2 linked regions of the Coturnix japonica genome follow. The protein of the gene in region 1 binds, or shares a complex with, the protein of each later gene. Links are inferred from orthologs where the notes say so. Each region holds a gene or a part of one and is shown on either strand. Other genes may lie near its edges.

Evidence for each region.
Region 2: the proteins of MMUT (region 1) and MMAA are in contact, whole or in part, in a crystal structure (PDB 8GJU), measured with the Homo sapiens proteins. The link is inferred for Coturnix japonica from reciprocal best matches to the Homo sapiens genes MMUT and MMAA. Residues at the interface, in NP_000246.2 of Homo sapiens: Lys496, Glu609, Arg610, Glu611, Gly612, Arg613, Arg614, Arg616, Ala635, Thr636, Ala639, Asp640, Gly642, Phe643, Asp644, Val645, Asp646, Ile647, Gly648, Pro649, Leu650, Phe651, Gln652, Glu656, Gln659, Gln660, Val662, Asp663, Ala664, Asp665; in NP_001362573.1 of Homo sapiens: Arg98, Ala99, Ala102, Glu103, Thr106, Glu109, Ser110, Thr111, His112, Ser182, Ser186, Gly187, Gly188, Ser189, Leu190, Leu191, Lys194, Thr195, Met197, Thr198, Ser201, Arg202, Met204, Tyr207, Ile208, Arg209, Pro210, Ser211, Pro212, Arg214.

Annotation. Positions count from the first base shown.
Region 1 is NC_029518.1:99,243,701-99,248,191, reverse strand, and holds part of MMUT (methylmalonyl-CoA mutase, mitochondrial), read right to left. Parts: intron 4,449-4,491; coding exon 4,081-4,448; intron 3,383-4,080; coding exon 3,225-3,382; intron 2,680-3,224; coding exon 2,508-2,679; intron 2,160-2,507; exon of another isoform or gene 2,149-2,159; intron 2,142-2,148; coding exon 1,893-2,141; intron 893-1,892; coding exon 781-892; intron 4-780; coding exon 1-3. UniProt on the Homo sapiens protein: Catalyzes the reversible isomerization of methylmalonyl-CoA (MMCoA) (generated from branched-chain amino acid metabolism and degradation of dietary odd chain fatty acids and cholesterol) to succinyl-CoA (3-carboxypropionyl-CoA), a key intermediate of the tricarboxylic acid cycle.
Region 2 is NC_029519.1:27,401,155-27,404,468, forward strand, and holds the end of MMAA (methylmalonic aciduria type A protein, mitochondrial), read left to right. Parts: intron 1-1,167; coding exon 1,168-1,455; 3' UTR 1,456-2,103; downstream 2,104-3,314. UniProt on the Homo sapiens protein: GTPase, binds and hydrolyzes GTP. Involved in intracellular vitamin B12 metabolism, mediates the transport of cobalamin (Cbl) into mitochondria for the final steps of adenosylcobalamin (AdoCbl) synthesis.

The DNA.
Region 1 (4,491 bases):
AACCTATTTCCAGTGGAAACACCAAAGACTTAGAATATATGAGCAAACTAGTGTGAAAAGACACAGTATTTATAGGAGAACATTTTAAGTAATAAGATACAGTGCTTTGCTTTATAACATTTCAAATACTTTAAAGAAATATAAGAAGGACTTAAGTCCATTTCTCATATTTTGCTGTAAGAGATGATTATATGCATGATCAATCAACACAGTTAACACTACCTAACACTAACTTCATAGTGTTACTCCTCTCTTCAGGACAAAGTAATTCACCTCGGGAGACGAAACATCTTAGGATTGTTCTTTACTGGTCTCAGTCAAGAATCTGCTTCAAATTTATACTCAAAAAAGGCTCATACAACTTCTTTCCTGTTCAAGTTATCCCTGTAGACTAGAAAAACTGAATAGAGACAATAAACATATATATATATATATATATATATATATACAAACACATATTTATTACACATATACATGTGTGTATACATGTACATATTGGCACATAAACACACACCTCCACAAACACTCATTGTTTGTGATTACGTATCTATACATAAATAAAGAACTGCATCATCTCCTAATATGAAATGAGTGCATTTTTCTGCTCTTCAGGAAGAATAGGCACTTCTCAAGGAACTGAGACTCTTGGCCAGATGCATTCAACCATTCAACACTGCCATCTGCTGGCTATCACAGTTTTACACCCAGGAACAGCAGTTCAGATGTACTATCTCAAAAAGAAAGAAAAAAAATCCCTTCTTTTGCCTTCTTGCTCCCTACCAGAGTCAATCCTGGCTTGCCGTCGGGCTGCACACTCTTCAATACGAAGTTTGGGAATTCCTTCAGCAACAGCTTTGGCCATTCCACCCATTTCTTCAATCTCCTCAATTAGCTGAAGCGCAGAAGATTGAGAAAAAGAGGATTAGTAAGGATACAAAACGAGCTTTGCGGTTGCACTACCATCCAAATTCTCACTGCATCCAAATAATTGATCAGATCATCTAAATCTCCCCTCTTTTAGTTTAAAACCATTCCACCTTGTCCTATCACTATCTGCCCATGTAATAAGCTGGACTCCCTCCTGCTTATAAGCTACAAGTACTGGAAGGCTGCAGAGAGGTGTCCCCCATGTCCATCATCTTCAGGCTGAACACACCAAGCTTTCCCAACCTTTCTATATAGGAGAAGTGCTCCAGCCCTCTTAGCATCATTGTGGCCCTTCAGTGGATCCATTCCAACAGCTCCATGTACAGTTGGACAATTTAATTCAGGACTGCCACTAGTCAGGCTACTCTTGTGCTGCACCTTTTATTTGCAACTAATAACTAGCAAATGAAATGTATTATTTGGAAGAAAAAAAAATAAAACTTGGCTTGCAATAGCATCCAGTTTCTAAATATGAAGCAGAGTAACACACACATGAGGAGACATAGAATCATAGAATACTGTGAGTTCTAAAAAGACCATCAACTCCTGGCTCCACATAGGATCATCCAAACACTGTACTTTATTATAAAGATCATCTACACAAAATCATTGAAGCTGAAATGTTAAATAATTCCTCCCTGAGAAGTTAAAAAGGTACAAAACAGTCATCTCTCAAAAATTCTATAGCTGAAATTTTCCTACAAAACAGAAAAGGTTGGATATTAGGAAGCACTTCTTTACAGAAAGGGTAGTTAGGTACTGGAATAGGCTCCACAGGGAGGTGGTTGAATCGCCATCCCTGGATGTGTTTAAGAATCATTTGGATGTGGTGCTCAGGGATATGATTTAGTGTAGGGTTGTTAGAGTTAGGGTACTGGTTAGGCTGCGATTGGACTTGATGATCTTCAAGGTCTTTTCCAACCTGAGTAATTCTATGATTCTATGAAAAGAGCATTTAAACCAACCTTCAAAGCAGCCTCATAGACATCGTTGGTGAGGCACTCCATCAGGTAAGATCCCCCCCAGGGATCTGCCACCTTTGGAATCCCTGATTCCTCTTGTATTATGATCTGTGTATTGCGAGCAATGCGAGCACTCTTCACTGTAGGCAAACCCAAAGCTTCATCAAATGAATTCGTATGCAAAGACTGGGTGCCTCCAAACACTGCAGCCATTGCTTCGATTGTAGTGCGAATAACATTGTTAAAGGGATCCTGAAAGGAAAAGGAAAGCTCAAAAGATCAAAGCTTCTGCCACAGGGCTGAGGTGCACTGATTTAACTTATACTGCTGAACATAAATCAATGCAAGATTCCCAATAGAAGAACTGTAATCATACCAAAAGCCGAAAAAGAAAGCAGTCAATGGGAGACATCCAATGAAACTGATATATCACTCAACAGTATTTCAGGCAAAGAGATTCATCAATAAAGCAAGCCAGAATTATTGATGTACAGGTAAATTGGTCACAATAATAAAGCAAAGCCCAGTTTAGATTTAGTTGGGTTACAAATAGCTTAATTAATTCAAAGTAAAACATGAGAACGTGTTTTAAATAGGAAACAGAGTACAATTTCTAACCTGCTCAGTGAGTGACCAGCCTGAAGTCTGACAGTGAGCTCTCAGCAGCAGAGATTTGGGATCTTTGGGCTTGAACATTTTCTCTATCAAGTGAGCCCATAGCTTCCTCCCTGCTCGAAGTTTAGCTATTTCCATATAGAAGTTCATGCCAATTCCCCAGAAGAAGGAAAGCCTGGAGTAAGAGGAACAGGATAAAACATTAAAACAATCTAAAAACTTAATTTCAGTAAATGACAAGAGCTACAGTAAAGCCCCCAATTAAAGTAAAGCCCCTCCTTCTTTTGACAACTTTAGTCCAGATCCAACATCTGCTTAATGCAGATAGAAAATAAGTAGATTAATCAGTCTTTACATTTGTAACTTCAGTCCATAAAACCTGTGATACTAAAAGTGCGCTGAACGTAACAAAGTCATGGTATAATTCATAGAATGGTCTGCGTTGCAAAGGCCCACAGTGCTCATCCAGCTCCAACCCCCTGCTGTGTGCAGGGTCACCAACCAGCAGCCCAGGCTGCCCAGAGCCACATCCAGCCTGGCCTTGAATGCCTGCAGGGATGGGGCATCCACAGCCTCCTTGGGCAACCTGTGCCAGTGCGTCACCACCCTCTGGGGGAAAAACTTCCTCCTAATACCTAACCTAAACCTCCCCTTCTGATGAAGATTAAAATTAAACTCCAGGGACTTTACCAAAAATTATGAGTATATTATTTAGCTCACCTTGGTGCAAATTCATCAATGGTAAGGCCGGCTTTCAGTCCAGTTCTGCAGTATTCCAAGCCATCTGCTATAGTATAAGCTAATTCCAGAATGGCATCAGCTCCTGCCTCTTGCATATGGTATCCACTGATTGAAATGGAATTAAATTTCGGCATGTACTGCAAAAATAAAAGAAAGAAAGTGTAAGAAGGGAGGAGGAAACTGAATTTCCAGGGCATAAACCCAGGGCTTCACTCCTTTCCTTATCTGCTTTCTATGCTTTATATCACAACACAAGGCCTTTAGATTTTCTGCCTCCTTGCTCCTCTTACAGCTAATAATGCTTCTTAACTATGTGGCTTCTCCCTTTGTACAACAAAAAGCCTCTCTACTCCTTGTATCCAACCTTCCTGAAACCCTTTCAGGCTTGCCTGAATCTGATTTTGATTTGCATTTACTTAATCCTAACATTTATAAATGTTTGCAAATGATTTGAGACCATAACTTGTCCTGATTTGTCTTCCCACCTTCTTCTACAATTGCATCTTTGTTCACTATGGCAGGTCTTCCCGTTCTCTGCTTTGTTCTGCATTGCTACTTATAAATAGAATCATAGAATAGAATTACCCAGGTTGGAAAAGACCTTGAAGATCAAGTCCAACCGCAGCCTAACCAGAACCCTAACTCTAAAAACCCTACACTAAATCATATCCCCGACCCCCACATCCAAACAGTTCTTAAACACAACCAGGGATGGCAATTCAACCACCTCCCTGGGGAGCCTACTCCAGTACCTAACTACCCTTTCTGTAAAGAAGTTCTTCCTAATAGTTAACCGGGTATAAAAATGAAGTACATACACTTAATTAATAAATACCTTTGAGGTGTACTGGAAGATGTCAGCAATAATCCTCATTGATGGTTCTGGAGGGAAAATGTATGTATTTCGGACCATGAACTCCTTCAATATGTCGTTTTGGATTGTCCCTGTCAGCTTGGCCTGAGGCACTCCCTGTTCTTCCCCAGTCACAATGAATGTTGCCAGCACAGGGATGACTGCTCCATTCATTGTCATAGAAACTGACATTTTCTCTAAAGGAATTCCATCAAAAAGGATTTTGGTGTCTTCCACCGTATCAATGGCAACTCCAGCCATTCCAACGTCCCCTCGGACTCGTGGATTATCTGAATCGTAGCCACGATGGGTGGCTAAATCAAAAGCAACAGACAACCCCTGTTGGCCAGCTAAGTGCAGAAAAGAAAACAAAAAGAGAAGAAAAAAAGATTC
Region 2 (3,314 bases), on another chromosome or scaffold:
AAAGATTCAGTACTAATGTAAGTATGTGTGCACACGTTTTCACTCTGTACGTGGATATGTGAAGGAGATTTGCTCTACACTGACTAAAATTGACCCCTTGAATTAAATTTACATCAGCTGAACTGCCCTTCTGTTCAACTTCTTCACTGTTGTTTTGTCATGTTTGTTTCTAGATCTGATTAGAATTACTAGTCACTGTGATGAGAAATGCAGCAACTGAAGTTAGTGCAGAAGAGCTGAATACTGAATTCTCTTACAGTTCAGATAGGATTTTTAACACTGTAAATTGTTGCAAGTGCAAACAGATACGTTTCCACCAAAATACTGTTTTTGACTCTGTTGATTCCTCTTGTTGCTGCAGCGTATTGTTTTGACATAATCATGTATGTGATACGTGGTTCTTTGCTTTTCATCACTCTGTGTGTTTACTTCATCACTATCTTATAAGCAGCTGATACATCTGGGTAGGTACTTGTTTGTTCAGCCTTATAAATGTGACCCTTAACACCTCTTTGAGACCAGTGAATCAAGCAGGTTATCAGAAATCTGTCTCTGTTTCAGTGATGGCATTGTCTGACTACTGGGAAAAAAAGGAAATATTGATGTGTAGGGACTTGAGCCATCAGATGGGAGAGAGATTTTTTTCTTAAAAGGATAAAAACAGTGGTAACAGTTAAAAGGTTCTGTTGGATGCCTATAATACTTTGGCAGAATGAATTCCTTGTCTGGGAAGCATATGTAGAAAGAAGTTTAATATCTCGTTTCTGGAATACTTGAAGTGCAGAAGGGTAACTATCAGTGTCTGTCTACCAGAATGCATAATCAAGTTTACATTTAAGTAAAATAGCAACACTGTACATTTTTAGCTAAAGATTGTATTTAAAATGATTCTCACTTGTTATACGAGCAGTTGAACAAGCCCCATTTGTCACAAATATTATGGATCTCAGCATCTACTTATAGTTGGTACATTCCCAACTTTGGGATTTATTTTTCGTCATGGAGAAAAGTGTGAGCATTGCAGAACTGTTTCGAGTGGCATTGGATATGTGTATTGAAGCGAGCTTGCCTTCCATGTAACTTGACTGTTGAAGTCTACCTGATGCAGTAATTGATCCCTTAAGCCCAGTAATTACGTGGCTTTAAACATTGTTCTGAATCCAACAGGTAATGCGTATCTCTGCCAAAACTGGAGAAGGTATCTCAGATATGTGGGATAAAATGACAGAATTTCGCGACCTCATGCTCACAAGTGGTGAGCTGATTGCTAAACGGCGGAAGCAGCAGAAAGTGTGGATGTGGAATCTCATCCAAGAAAATATGTTGGAACATTTCCGGAGTCACTTGGCAGTCAAAGATAAGATTCCACTTCTGGAAGAAAAAGTTCTTAGTGGTGTCTTGTCTCCTGGGCTGGCAGCTGATCTGCTGCTGAAAGCATTCAAAGATGGTCTCTAATCATTATTTTCTACTGTGTTATTGCTAATTCCTTCATGTAAACCTAAATATTAAATACGCTTTATGTGTGAATTCAAATGTTTCACTACAACAGACACTAATGGAATACAATTTATTAGTACTCTGCCACAAAAATACTGAGTGAAAAGCGCTGTAGGATTCTGTATATGTAAAGTTCAGTGCAAACACACACTCAGAGACTACTATATCTGGTACTTGAACAGCAGTACTGTTTTTGAGTCTGTACTCATATGGATTTGTTGGTCACAAATGTGAGCCTGTATCAAAATGTGACTGGTTTTGGAGAGTGAGGTTTGGTGCAGCAGTTTCACTGTGGGACTATCTTAGGGGTGATAAACACTTCTGCTTTCCATTCTGATTTATTATCAGTTGTTTCTTGTATGTATTACTTTTTTCTTCCTCTTGAGTCTCTGCAAGAACACTGGACCTCCTGGTTGCACCGGACTGCAGTCTTAGTTTTAAATACATTGAAAGCATATAAAAAGAGTTGTTCAGTCATTGGGAAGCTATAGCTATTTCCTGTATGCTAGGAGAAGAGAATTGTAACAATCATAGATTCTAACTAGATGTTTTAGTACAAAAGCAAAGTCTAATTAGACTTTTTAAAATACAGACATATGAAATGAGTGCCATCCACCAAGTTCTTAATCGCAATTCTTTTTCACAGAATCATAGAATGGCCTGGGTTGGAAGGGACCTTAAAAATCATGAATCTCCATCTCCCCTGCTACATGCAGGGCCTCCAACCTCCCCATTTAATACTAGACCAGGCTGCCCAGGGCCCCATCCAAACTGGCCTTGAACACCTCCAGGGTTGAGGCATCCACAGCCTCTCTGGGCAGCCTGTTCCAGCACCTCACCACTCTCGTAGTAAAGAACTTCCCCCCGATATCCAACCTAAATCTTCCCTCCTTCAACTTAAAACCACCTCCCCTTGTCCTGCTGTTATCTACCCTTTCAAAGAGTTGACTCCCCTCCTCTTTATAGGTTCCCTATAATAGAAAAATTGATCTCTGGTCTTATTTGACTGAAGTAAGCTTTTCATATTTAAAGAAAATGCTTACTTTTCTCCTCTCTTGTAGATCACATGATTTTTGTTTCCCTTGAGAACTCATCTGGAGTTGGCATTTTCCTAATTCTTGAACTGGAATGCAGAGTTATCTACTAAATATGAAGAGTAAAATAGGAAAATGCTGATTTCTTGAGGGCTGACAGAAAAGCATTAACAAGAGTTTTAATAAGTTGTTGCCGTGTGCTCTACTTTTCCTTATATGAATAAATATATAAGGCATTAGGTGTTTTTTTATAGTCTTGATTTTCTGTATGCCTATCATAGTATGTGAGATAGTTTGGGGTTTGTTTGTTATAATTTAAGTTTAGTTTGGCTTCCTAACAAGTATGCATTTTGCAGAGCATTTGTGTTCTGACAGTCTGAGTCTGGATATCTCAAACAATTCCAGGGTAGCAATGAATTGGTTTCCTTTGATTCTATTTCTTTTTTCCTTCCTTCCGTTTATTTTTTTATTTTTTATTTTATTTTTCTTCTGGTGACGTTTTTTTTTCTCTTCCCTTATACCAATTGTTACAATGTGTTCTCAGCTAAATTTGCTTTGTCTTGCTAAACCTCTGTACTTCCTAGTTTTCACTCCTTTATAGTTGTAATGCAACTATCAGAAAAAATTAATGAATGTTGAAAATGCTGAGGATTTTTTCCTTTGGTTTGTCAAAGTAGCATAAACTAAACAATACAGAAATCTCCATCAGGCTGCTAACATTTCAGTTACTTCTTCCATTGTATGAGGGCTTATGTTTCGTTGTCCATCTATTTTTTTTTTACT